2 linked regions of the Drosophila melanogaster genome follow. Changing the gene in region 1 together with any one later gene gives a genetic interaction. Each region holds a gene or a part of one and is shown on either strand. Other genes may lie near its edges.

What was found. Genes that interact genetically often act in the same process or in processes that back each other up.
Region 2: of l(2)37Cb (region 1) and KLHL18, changing one enhances a phenotype caused by changing the other (phenotypic enhancement), as found in Drosophila melanogaster (one study listed by BioGRID).

What each region holds. Positions count from the first base shown.
Region 1 is NT_033779.5:19,123,450-19,128,920, forward strand, and holds l(2)37Cb (lethal (2) 37Cb), read right to left. Parts: upstream 3,528-5,471; 5' UTR 3,475-3,527; coding exon 3,125-3,474; intron 3,064-3,124; coding exon 2,927-3,063; intron 2,867-2,926; coding exon 1,297-2,866; intron 1,230-1,296; coding exon 602-1,229; 3' UTR 549-601; downstream 1-548. Other genes in the region: Phb1 (prohibitin 1), read right to left, coding at 1-103; l(2)37Cd (lethal (2) 37Cd), read left to right, coding at 3,824-3,943, 4,006-4,207, 4,265-4,394, 4,522-5,471.
Region 2 is NT_033777.3:12,006,928-12,012,195, reverse strand, and holds KLHL18 (kelch like family member 18), read left to right. Parts: upstream 1-1,761; 5' UTR 1,762-1,822; coding exon 1,823-1,954; exon of another isoform or gene 1,955-2,031; coding exon of another isoform or gene 2,032-2,052; coding exon 2,053-2,906; intron 2,907-2,968; coding exon 2,969-3,227; intron 3,228-3,300; coding exon 3,301-3,783; 3' UTR 3,784-3,833; exon of another isoform or gene 3,834-4,095; intron 4,096-4,267; 3' UTR 4,268-4,720; downstream 4,721-5,268. Other genes in the region: GCC185 (GRIP and coiled-coil domain containing 185 kDa), read right to left, coding at 1-1,013, 1,074-1,173, 1,236-1,265.

The sequences.
Region 1 (5,471 bases):
GGTGGCCGCCTTCCACATTATATAATGCCGAATTGACAACGCCACCCAAAACGGCCACTCCGAGGCCCATTTGGCCAATGCGATTAAAGAACTGAGCAGCCATTATCCTTTGAATAAAACAAACGTAATGTATTTAGTTACTGTTCTATAAACTATATATGTAAATGAAAGCCGACTGGACTTGGAAATTTCATCAGTTTTTAGGTTAGAACGTCATGGTTTAATGACAATGTGCTGTTTGCGTGTTTTTATCCCCTGTTCTTCCTGGTCTTCAAACGCAGTTAGCTCGGCTCGCTCATAGACTCACTTGTTAAAGGTTTTTGGTTGCACTTAAATTAAATTATTGTGCAATTTTGCTCTTTGAAATGCAAAACACGAAATACAACCACACGGCCTGTTATCGATAATACAACTGTCGGTGGGGCCGCCATATATCGAAACGTACTAATAAGAATCGTATTCGATTGTTTCCTAAGATTATCGATTATCGAAATTTAAAAAGAATAATAATAAACAAAGCCAGTTTACAATATCAAACTACAAATGGTGAAATTTACAATAAAAGTTTATTATTAATTGAAAACTAAAAACCCCCTCAAAATTATTGCGCCATTTCGGCTCGCCCGGCGACTTTTGGCATCTTCTTGTTCGTCGAATCCTCCAGCTCCTTGGCCTTGTAGTAGTGCGGAGCCACCTCCAGCAACCACTTGCTCTCGATCTCTATAACCTGACGCATGTACTCCTTGGAGGTGAACACCAGCTCGTGATAGAGCACCCAGCGCGGCAGCTCCTCAAAGAGCGAGGAGTTCGGATGTATCATCACGGTCTGATTGTGCTTGATGGTCTTGTAGTGACCGCCCTTCGAGAGTCGCGCCACATGGTAAAAGTAACCAGCGGTGGCTGCCTTGCGCACGTTTACTGTTTCTGGCAGGCAGCTGACCATGTCGATCTCGACACGCTGCATCAGTCCCACCAGCTGCTCCCGCACGTCGCGAGCCCGCTTCATCGATCTGTACTGGATGAAGTTCTCGTAGCACCACTGGGTGCTGTAGTCCGTCTCCGCCCACTGATTGTAGACCTGCAGGAGGCTCAAGTGGTCGCCGTGCATGTGATTGAAGTTTTTTCGGGCTGTGTCCGCGTGAATGATTTTGTCCTTGGGCCTGTAGAAAATGGCGCTATTCACGGACAGCATGGCTGCAATGGTCACCATCTCCTCGGAGCATTTGTATCTAAAACAAAAATATACGAATATTATACGAATTATTTCACTTCTGGTTTGTTAGATCGATTACATACTTTTCGCTTGCCAGCAGCATCTTGCCCATCATGGGATCCACGGGAAACTCGGCCATCCGTCGACCCAGCTTGGTTAACTCTCCATGGTGATTAAGTGCACCCAGGGCATATAGCTGCTCCAAAGCCAATACCAGTGTCTCGTGCGGCGGAGGGTCCAGAAAGTCGAAGTGTATCAGATCATTGATGCCCAGAGCCTTTAGCATGAGCACCGCATTGCCCAGATTAATACGCTGTATCTCCGGAACGGTATTGTCCTCCAGTTCATGCTTGTATGCCCACGCCGTATACAGACGGAAGCACTTTCCCGGAGCAGTTCGTCCCGCTCTGCCCGCTCGCTGATTGGCGGAGGCCTTGGAAATGGGCACCACCATAAGCGACTCCATGCCAGTGCGGGAATTAAAATTGTTCTGCTTGGCAAACCCAGGATCAATTACATAAATGATGTTGTCGATGGTTAGCGAAGTCTCTGCGATATTTGTGGCCAGGATAACTTTTCGGGCATTCGGCGGTGTGGGTTCGAAGATTTTGGCCTGCATATCACTCGGTAGATTCGCATAGACGGGTATAACGATCAGCTCACGTATTTTGGAGCCCAGCCGCTTTACGCGATCATGCAGAACCTCCTGGCAAGTCTCGATCTCATCCTGACCCGTGAGGAAGACTAGAATGTCGCCCAAAGGTTGAGTGGCATGAATCTGCAAAACTGAAACGCAACACGCGTCGATGTAGTCCGCTTCCGGAGCCTTGGTGTAGAATATGTCCACTGGATAGCGGCGACCAGGTATCCGAAAGATGGGTGCATCATCGAAGAACGCGGAGAACTTTTCCGCATCCAGAGTGGCACTGGAAATGAGCAGCTTCAACTCTGGTCTAAAGCGAGCAATATCCTTGACCAGGCCAAACAAAATGTCCGTGTGCAGTGTCCGTTCGTGAGCCTCATCGATAATCATCACACTGTAGGAGGCCAAGTCGGGTTCCGAAAGGAACTCTCGATGCAGGGTGCCGTCCGTCATGTACTTGAGAATGGTGCGATCCGAGGTGCAGTCCTCGAAACGGATGCTGTAGCCCACCTCGTTGCCCAGCTTCACGCCCATTTCCTCGGCCACGCGTGCTGCCACCGACATGGCGGCCACACGACGTGGTTGCGTGCATCCGATCATCTTCTTGTCCTTGGTGAAACCAGCTTCCACGAGGTACTGCGGCACCTGTGTCGTTTTGCCCGAGCCTGTTTCTCCTTCGATGATGAGCACCTGATGTTCCTTTACAGCAGCAATCAGATCCTCCTTGAACGGATAAACGGGCAGTGATCTTCTGGTTTCGTCCAATGTCAAACGTTTGCGTTCCTTCTCCGTGAGTTCGGGCTGTCGGCTAGATGATTTCTCTCGACTTCCGTCCAGGGTAAGGGCTTGGATGAAATCGATTTGATCGTCAAGTAGCAGCTCATACTCCTCCTCCGCCTTGGCATCTTTCGCGCCGAAATGGAAACGCGCCGAAGCCAGCTGTTCAGCCTCCCATTTCTTCTGCTCTGAGTTGGGTTGCTTCTCAAACTCATCAACCTCAACGTATTCAGCTTAAGTGGAAAAATAACATATAAGTATTTATCGAGGACCAACGTACGTTGTCTACATACATCGCTCTCCCTTTTTCAGGTCCTGCGGCATATTATAACGCTGGATGCGCTCTAGTTCCCGCGCCTTCTCGTGCTCCTTGGCGATGTTCAGCAGTTGCTTCTTGTACTCGCGCTCCTCCTTCTCCCGTTTGGTCAGGCTGAAAGCAAACCAGGATTATTTGGATACCTATGTAGGTAAGGATTAAGCTATGATCCTACACGCTCTCATCGAAGAGGTACTCATCGTCCAGGATGTCCGCCTCCAGCTCGGCCACCTTGTCATCCTTGCGCTTCTCCAGGTACTGGCGACGCGACTGCAGACGCAGGTGAGGCACTATCTTGTCCCGATCCTCATGCTCAAGCTTCAGTCGCTTGGTGGCCTCCTCGATGGCCCTTCGTCCGCCGGTGGAATCAACCACATTGCGCGTCCGATCGTCATCCCGCTTCTTCAGCCGGCTGGCGAACTCGTCGCGCTCCTGCAGGTCCTTTAGGCGAGACTCTTCCTCGCTGTCCGGCTCCTCACCGCTGCTGCTGCTGCTGGCCGTGCGTTTTCTGTTTTTACCCGACATTTTCAAGATTGCCTATAAACAAACCGGCTAGCGATAGGTAATTCGATAACATGCAGTGCTGCCAAGCTAGCTATTTTCAGCACTGGGTGAGCAAACAATAATAATCAAATTGCTAAAAATATATTATATATATATATAATATTCTATATTTATTTTATTACAAATTATGTTTCTTATATTATAGGCTTATTTGTGGCAATAACTAGTTTTAAAGGACTTATGGGTACACCTTCATGGCACATTCAATTTTGTGTGTTGCTCATTTTTTTTTGCTCGAATTTATTAGTAGAGAGCATCACTGTTCCCCTAACAGCTGTTTAATTCGTTAAACTCACCTCAGTTTCATATCATGTCGCGCCAATTGAGTTTCAATCCGCAGAAAGAATATGAGTTGATCGAGTACCCCGGCCGAGTGGTAAATCCCGATCGGATGATAGCCACTCTGGGCGGCATCATCAATGTGTCTAAGGTATGGAATTCAACCTGGTCAGGCAATCGGGCAACTTGGCTGATATCTTATTCCATGCACAGGTTTTGGGCGACGAAGTGAAACGATTGGCGTTGCACTTCCATCCGGAGAATCCCTACAACAAACCCACTTTTGGGGACTGCACGGATAAGACTGGTGTCCTGCTATCCATAACCGTGAGGCGCCACAAAAAGGACAAGCAACGGCCTCCGGAATATTTTGTGCGGGTGTTGGGCCACTGCAGCAGGAGCTTCACCTTTGAAAGTGAGTAGATGGTCGGAATTCCATCCACGATATATTCTAATTTCCTTTTACTTTAAGCGCTTTGTGATTTCCAATACCTACCCCTCTGGTCAACTCCCAAAAGTGACAACGCAAATGCTGCCCAGGAGCTCACGTACGCTTTGGACCAGTTGAAACCCAAAAACACCACCGACTTGGACTACTTTAAGTGAGTAACTTGTCCATATTCGTGCTCTGTGCACCAAGAGAATGAGATCCTGGTTTGAAAGCTATATAGCATGTATAATTAATCATTTTAATGCTCAGTATGTAAAAGCATCGTATTTTTCCCACAGACGTCGCCACAGCCAGTTGCTGGCGCTGCCCGAATTGTTCACCCACGTGGACACTGTCTATGCGGGCACGTATCGCATCGATCCCTCAGAAGACGGCCAACATGAGGTGCTGGGCGTGCAGTCCAAGTCCTCCTACGACAACCAGGGCGTGGTCTCGTTCAACATGGTGGACAGCTTTCCCACCCAGGCAGACTCCCAAAACCTTAAACGACTCAAGGTCAAGTACGTTTCGGATGAGCAGCTGGCATTGGTCAAAAAACTTTTCGATGACTGCCCAATTTGGACCCGAATCGCGCTGCAATATGAATCGGGTTTGACCAACGACAAACTCAAGTGCATCACTCCATCGCTGGCATTTTACTTTAGCAACGGCCCGTGGCGCACTTTGTATGTTCGCTTCGGCTACGATCCCCGCAAGGACTTCAATAGTCGCTACTATCAGACTTTCGACTTCCGACTCCGATTCAGCACTGGTCTCTCCGAATTCGTGTATGCTAAGAAGTTCGTAAAGCAACGGAGGGCGGCGAACGCTCCATTCGCGCCCATCGAGGATCGAGTCTCTGATTTGGTTCAGGACATTGACTATCCCTACTTCGATGAGCACAAGCTGCCGCGCTCCAGGCAATGCATGCTGCGCTACTGCGACGTCCGTATGACGAGGATCCAGGAAATGTTGGAGAAGATCCCCACTCCACTTACCGGAGCTGTGTGCAATGAACGCACGGGCTGGCTGCCGCCGGGATTCGATGCTCAAGTGCGTCAGATTGTCTGCGCCTCGATCAGCGAACTTTTGCGCAACCATTACCGCAAGGAGAATCTTACAGCCGAAGTGGAGGCAGTTACCCAGGCCGACGAAGAGGATGAAGACGAGGCCGAGGACGAGGAGACGCAAGAAGAGGACATGGAGCTGGATGAGACGCAAGCTATGGGCAATTCGGAGCAATTCGTAG
Region 2 (5,268 bases), on another chromosome or scaffold:
CTTTGCAATGACTTTGACCAGATTTTGCATTTGATCAAGCTTGGTCTGGAATAAGCTTACATTAAGGTTCCTGGCGTGATTTTTGGTGTTTTCCTGCTCCTTCGTTACACTTATCAATTGTTCCTTGTCAATTCTATGCTGCTGCTTTATAATGACTGCAAGCTCTTCGAGAGCGGTTATCTTCTTAAGTAGGTACTCCACATTCAAATTGCTCCTTTGGTTCTTTTGCTTCTGCTTCACTATTTTGGCTAGCCGATCCATTTCCTGAACTCTTTGCAGCAAGCGCTTGCGGTCAATTCCAGTGTCAATTGTTTGAGGATTATTGTCTGACTTTCCATTGTTCAGCTTCAGTTTTTCATTCTCGGCCTGCAGGGATGCCATCTTTGCGCACAACAGTTGCGAAGCTTTGATAATCTCCACCTGCCATTTGGAAACGGATGCGGCGTACTCGTGCTGCGTTTCCAGCAGCACGCACTTGCACTCCTTGAGGTTCTTCAACTTGCGGTGTACATCAATGAAGCGGTCCTTTAGAGAATTAAACTTCTTGCGTTGCTCAGAGTTAAGTTCCTTGATGTTTTGGTACTTTTGCTGCAGCACACTCGACTCTTCTTCCATCGTGGCGACTTGCTGGCGAAGACTAGCGTTTTCCGCCTCCGCTTCCTTAATTTTGGCAATGTCCACTTCCAAAAGTTCCAGATTCTTGCGCTGCTCGTTACCCAGAGCATTGACCTGTTGCATAGCCTTTTCCATGCGATCCACATTGGCAAGGAGGGCATCGTTTTCATCACTCAGTCGCCCAAGTTGGCGCTTTAGGCTCTCGTTCTCGATCTCGAATTGCGTCAGTCGATCGGCATCCTCTTTGGTCTTTCGTTTCAGATTATTCACTTCCTCGGTGAGGATGAGGTTCTTATCGGTGAAGTCCTGGACCATTTCCTGCATGGCTGGCAGGCTGCTCTGCTTCTCCGCCGCCCGTTTAAGGGCATCCTTGAGTCGGTGATTTTCCTCGGTGAGTTCTGAAAGAGAGTGGCTTGCATTATTCTGGAAGATTCCCTGAAACTCTCCATCAAACTTACCATCTTTTGCCTGTTTCGCCTTTTTAGCGATGTTGAGCAGGCCTTTGTATTTGCTGATGATTTCATCTTTGCTCAGCGCCTCGATCGGATTCGGGTTCTTCTGCAAATGCAAATAACAAGATGAGACGTCATCATCAATTCTAGCGACACCTTTTTACTCACCTGGGTTTCCCTCGGTGATGCGGCTTCCATGTTACTTGCTATTTTCGTATCCTTGCATTTAATAGCGGTCCAAACATTTATGTCTTAACTCAGATCAGTGGTTTTCCAATTAGCAAGCGACCCAGATTACTCGAAAATGTTTTTGGACCCTTAATCAATCCGAGCGAAGAAAACACTCCAGCCACACTAACAGCTGATAGGGCTGTCATCACCGCCCAATTAGTGATGAGCGTCTTTTTTTAAGAAGGTGACGCAAAAACGGAAAAATTACTAATTAAAATTAAATGAAAGAATAATATTGTCTTAAAAATATGTGCTTTTTAAGGATTTAATTATCACTGTTGCATAAAAAGGGCTCAACTTTTTAATAAGTATTATGAAATTACATTTTGGTCCAAGAACGTTACCTTTAAAATTAAACAATATGATTCAATAAATTTGTTTCACTACTATTGGTGTTGTTCAACTATCGAAGGAACCTCAACTATCGATTAATGTGACCGCTCACCACTGACCACCACTAGCTCTGCAGTACAAGCAACATTTGGCATCTCTACTGTTTATCATTTTCTTGATCCGTTAAAGTGATGGATTTGAGTGATAATAGCCAAGTGGAGGATCAATACTTTGTTTACAAGCATGATAAGCTATTCGGCGAGAGTTTCCCCCTGTTCAAGGAAATCCGCAGGATGGGCAAGCTGTGCGATGTCACCCTAAAGGTTGTTTGCGTGCAGACTGGGGCATTCAATCACCCGCAGCTCAGAGATACGTTCATTATCTAGCGTCTAAATATAAAATGCCATCCCAATTATTGCAGGTTGAAGATCAGACCTTCTCAGCGCACCGCGTTGTGCTGGCGGCCACCATCCCGTATTTCTATGCGATGTTCACCAACAACATGGCAGAGAGTCGGATCAAGGAGATCACCATGAAGGAGAGCGCCATAGAGCCAAGTGCCCTGGAGAGTCTGATCAACTATGTTTACAGCGGCCAAGTGCGCATCGACAACCAGAATGTGCAGAACCTGATGGTGGGCGCCAGCTTCCTGCAATTGTCCAACGTGCGGGATGCCTGTGCCAGTTTCCTGATCTCCCGCTTTCATCCGCACAATGTCCTGGGAATCCGCACCTTCGCCGACTCCATGATCTGCCGGCAGCTAATCGACGCTGCCGACAAGTATATTGATCAAAACTTTGCCAAAGTCTCGCAGTCGGAGGAGTTTCTCGCCCTGGACTGCGAACAATTGCTGGAGCTGATGCGCCGGGACGAACTCAACGTACGCACCGAGGAGGTCATCTTCGAGGCCTGCATGAAGTGGGTCAAGTACGCAGAAGACAAGCGCTCTGAGCTCTTTCCTCAGGTCCTGGCTGCAGTGCGTTTGCCATTGCTCTCGCCTCAGTTCCTGGCGGACCGTGTGGCCCGCGAGGAACTCATTCGATCCTCGCACCAATGCCGTGATCTCCTAGACGAGGCCAAGGACTTTCACCTCATGCCCGAGCGCAGGGGTCTGCTGCAGAGCTTTCGCACGCGCCAGAGATCCGGTGAGTTCTTTACCGGACAAATATACGCCGTGGGAGGACTGGCCAGCACTGGGGAATCTGTGAGCACGGTCGAGATTTACGATCCGCTCACCAAAAAATGGAAAATGGGCGAACAAATGTCCATGATGAGGTGAGTGTGCGAGGAGCATTTATTTCTATTCTATCCCATACTAATTGCCAATTTTTCGACAGATCTCGCGTGGGTGTGGCCGTTCTGAATGGCAAGCTGTACGCCTTTGGTGGATTCAATGGCACCGAACGTCTGTCCACCGTTGAGGTCTACGACCCGCGCAAAAACAAGTGGTCCCAGGGCTGTGCCATGCTCTGCAAACGCAGCGCCGTGGGCGTGGCCGCATTGGATGATTGTATCTATGTGTGCGGCGGCTACGACGGCGTCACGTCGCTCAACACCGTTGAAGTTTACTATCCAAAGTCTAACACTTGGAAGACTGTAAGTAAACAAACATTCTATGTAACCCAGATGGGTAAGAAAACTGATCCAACTTTAATTTCACTACCCGAAGGTTGCTCAAATGATGAAATATCGTTCGGCTGGTGGAGTTACCCAATTGAACGGCTACGTCTACGCCCTTGGCGGTCATGATGGGTTGTCCATATTCGATTCGGTGGAGCGGTACGACCAGGCCGAAGATGTCTGGGTTAAGATGTCGCCCATGCTGAATCGTCGCTGTAGACTGGGCGTGGCCACGCTGAACGGAAAGATATACGTGTGCGGCGGCTACTGCGGCAACTCATTCCTTCGATCCGTAGAGTGCTACGACCCTCAGACGGACACCTGGAAGCTGGTGACACCAATGAATTGCAAACGCTCGCGGGTGGCTCTGGCCGCCAACATGGGCAAACTGTGGGCCATCGGCGGCTATGATGGCGAGTCAAATTTGTCTACAGTCGAGGTGTACGATCCGGAGACCGACAAATGGACCTTTATGCCGCCCATGTGCGCACACAGTGGTGGTGTCGGAGCCGGGGTCATACGGATCGAGTAACCCACTCGATTCGCCTGCCAAACCCGTTTCTCTAGCCACACTCGTCTTAGGTAATTTATGTGAATTGAATCGATATAGTTTAGCCTAGATATGATTGTTGAGGGTAACCAAGCTTTAGTGGCACCTCGTGCGGCCGCCTCGTATGCAACTCAGCTCAGCTCTTGCAGCTCTATCAAAATTGTTCATATACTACTCACAGCTCTATAGATTTTGTCATTCCAGTTATGTAATTGTTTAGTTACTACGCCTAGCCTTAAATACTCATTACAATATTAATCCTCCAAATAAAAACATGTATAACGCATGTTATGTAAAAATTTATTAATGGTTGGTTTATTTTTGTAAGACGGGTAAAATAGTCCTATGTATAACTAAAATCAATTTCACACCAATTTAAATCATATTTTATTTAATTTAATTTAAATTGAACTAGACTCTTAACATTAAAGTTATCTAAAGACGTATTCTTTGTATTCATTTTCAGTCATTACCCTCGCCATTTGTAATCTTGAAATGTTTTAGAAGGTTGTTAAAGTTCAGTAATTTCCTTACAGTAAAGGGACGACTGTCAACCTTTTGCACATCGTATAAATCAATTGTGTTTCGACGATCCATATGGGCGGCGGATACGTTTTATTTGAACAATAATAAATGGTTGACAAATAACAAAGCAATCTGAGCGACAAAAAGGCGAAAATGGCGAGGGCAGCGCAAAAAGTTGATGGTCAATAAGCAGGCCTTTATGGAAGGCAGTGCACTTGTTTATTGTCCCTAAAATACTTTCAGTTTTAATTAAAAATGATTAAATATTATTACCCAAGTCCCAATGTCTATCTACAATTTTCTACTTATTTTGTAACGAATAAATGTACCTTCCCTCGTTGCATCTCAGTTGAACATGCGGAGTATCTCTTCCCTTGATATTTGTACACCTCCCACGCGCGGAATGCAATTTTAAATTCGATTTGCACCACCTGCTCAAAGTGCAGCGGCAGCAAAACTAATTCGGAGCAACAGGTGGCAATGGCGCATCCAAAAATAGAGGCTAACGAAACCAAACCAAAACAAAATCAATTTGCCGTCTATCACTGACCCATAAAATGCCATACGCACAGCAAAGGGTCATAATCCAATCAATTGCACACTTAACGTACATATTTCGCAGTTATCAGATGGTTCCAGCGATGGAGGACCTTATCGCCGATCCGGATACGATCCGGTCCTGTTCCCGATTGCCAATGGCTACATGTATATTTATGTGGCTCTGCAGCGGCACGGCTATTTGCACAAGCGAAAAGGCTTTGTGGCGGCGGTCTTATTTGATTTTGATAATCAAATCACAAATTGCTTGTCTATCGATGGGCAATTTTATTTTAATTAAATGCTAATTATGTTTACCAAATGGTTGGAGTAAATATTTGTTGCATCACCGGGGACAATTGTTTATCACCACCAAACTGGAGCTCGTTTAGTTGGAAATCCGTC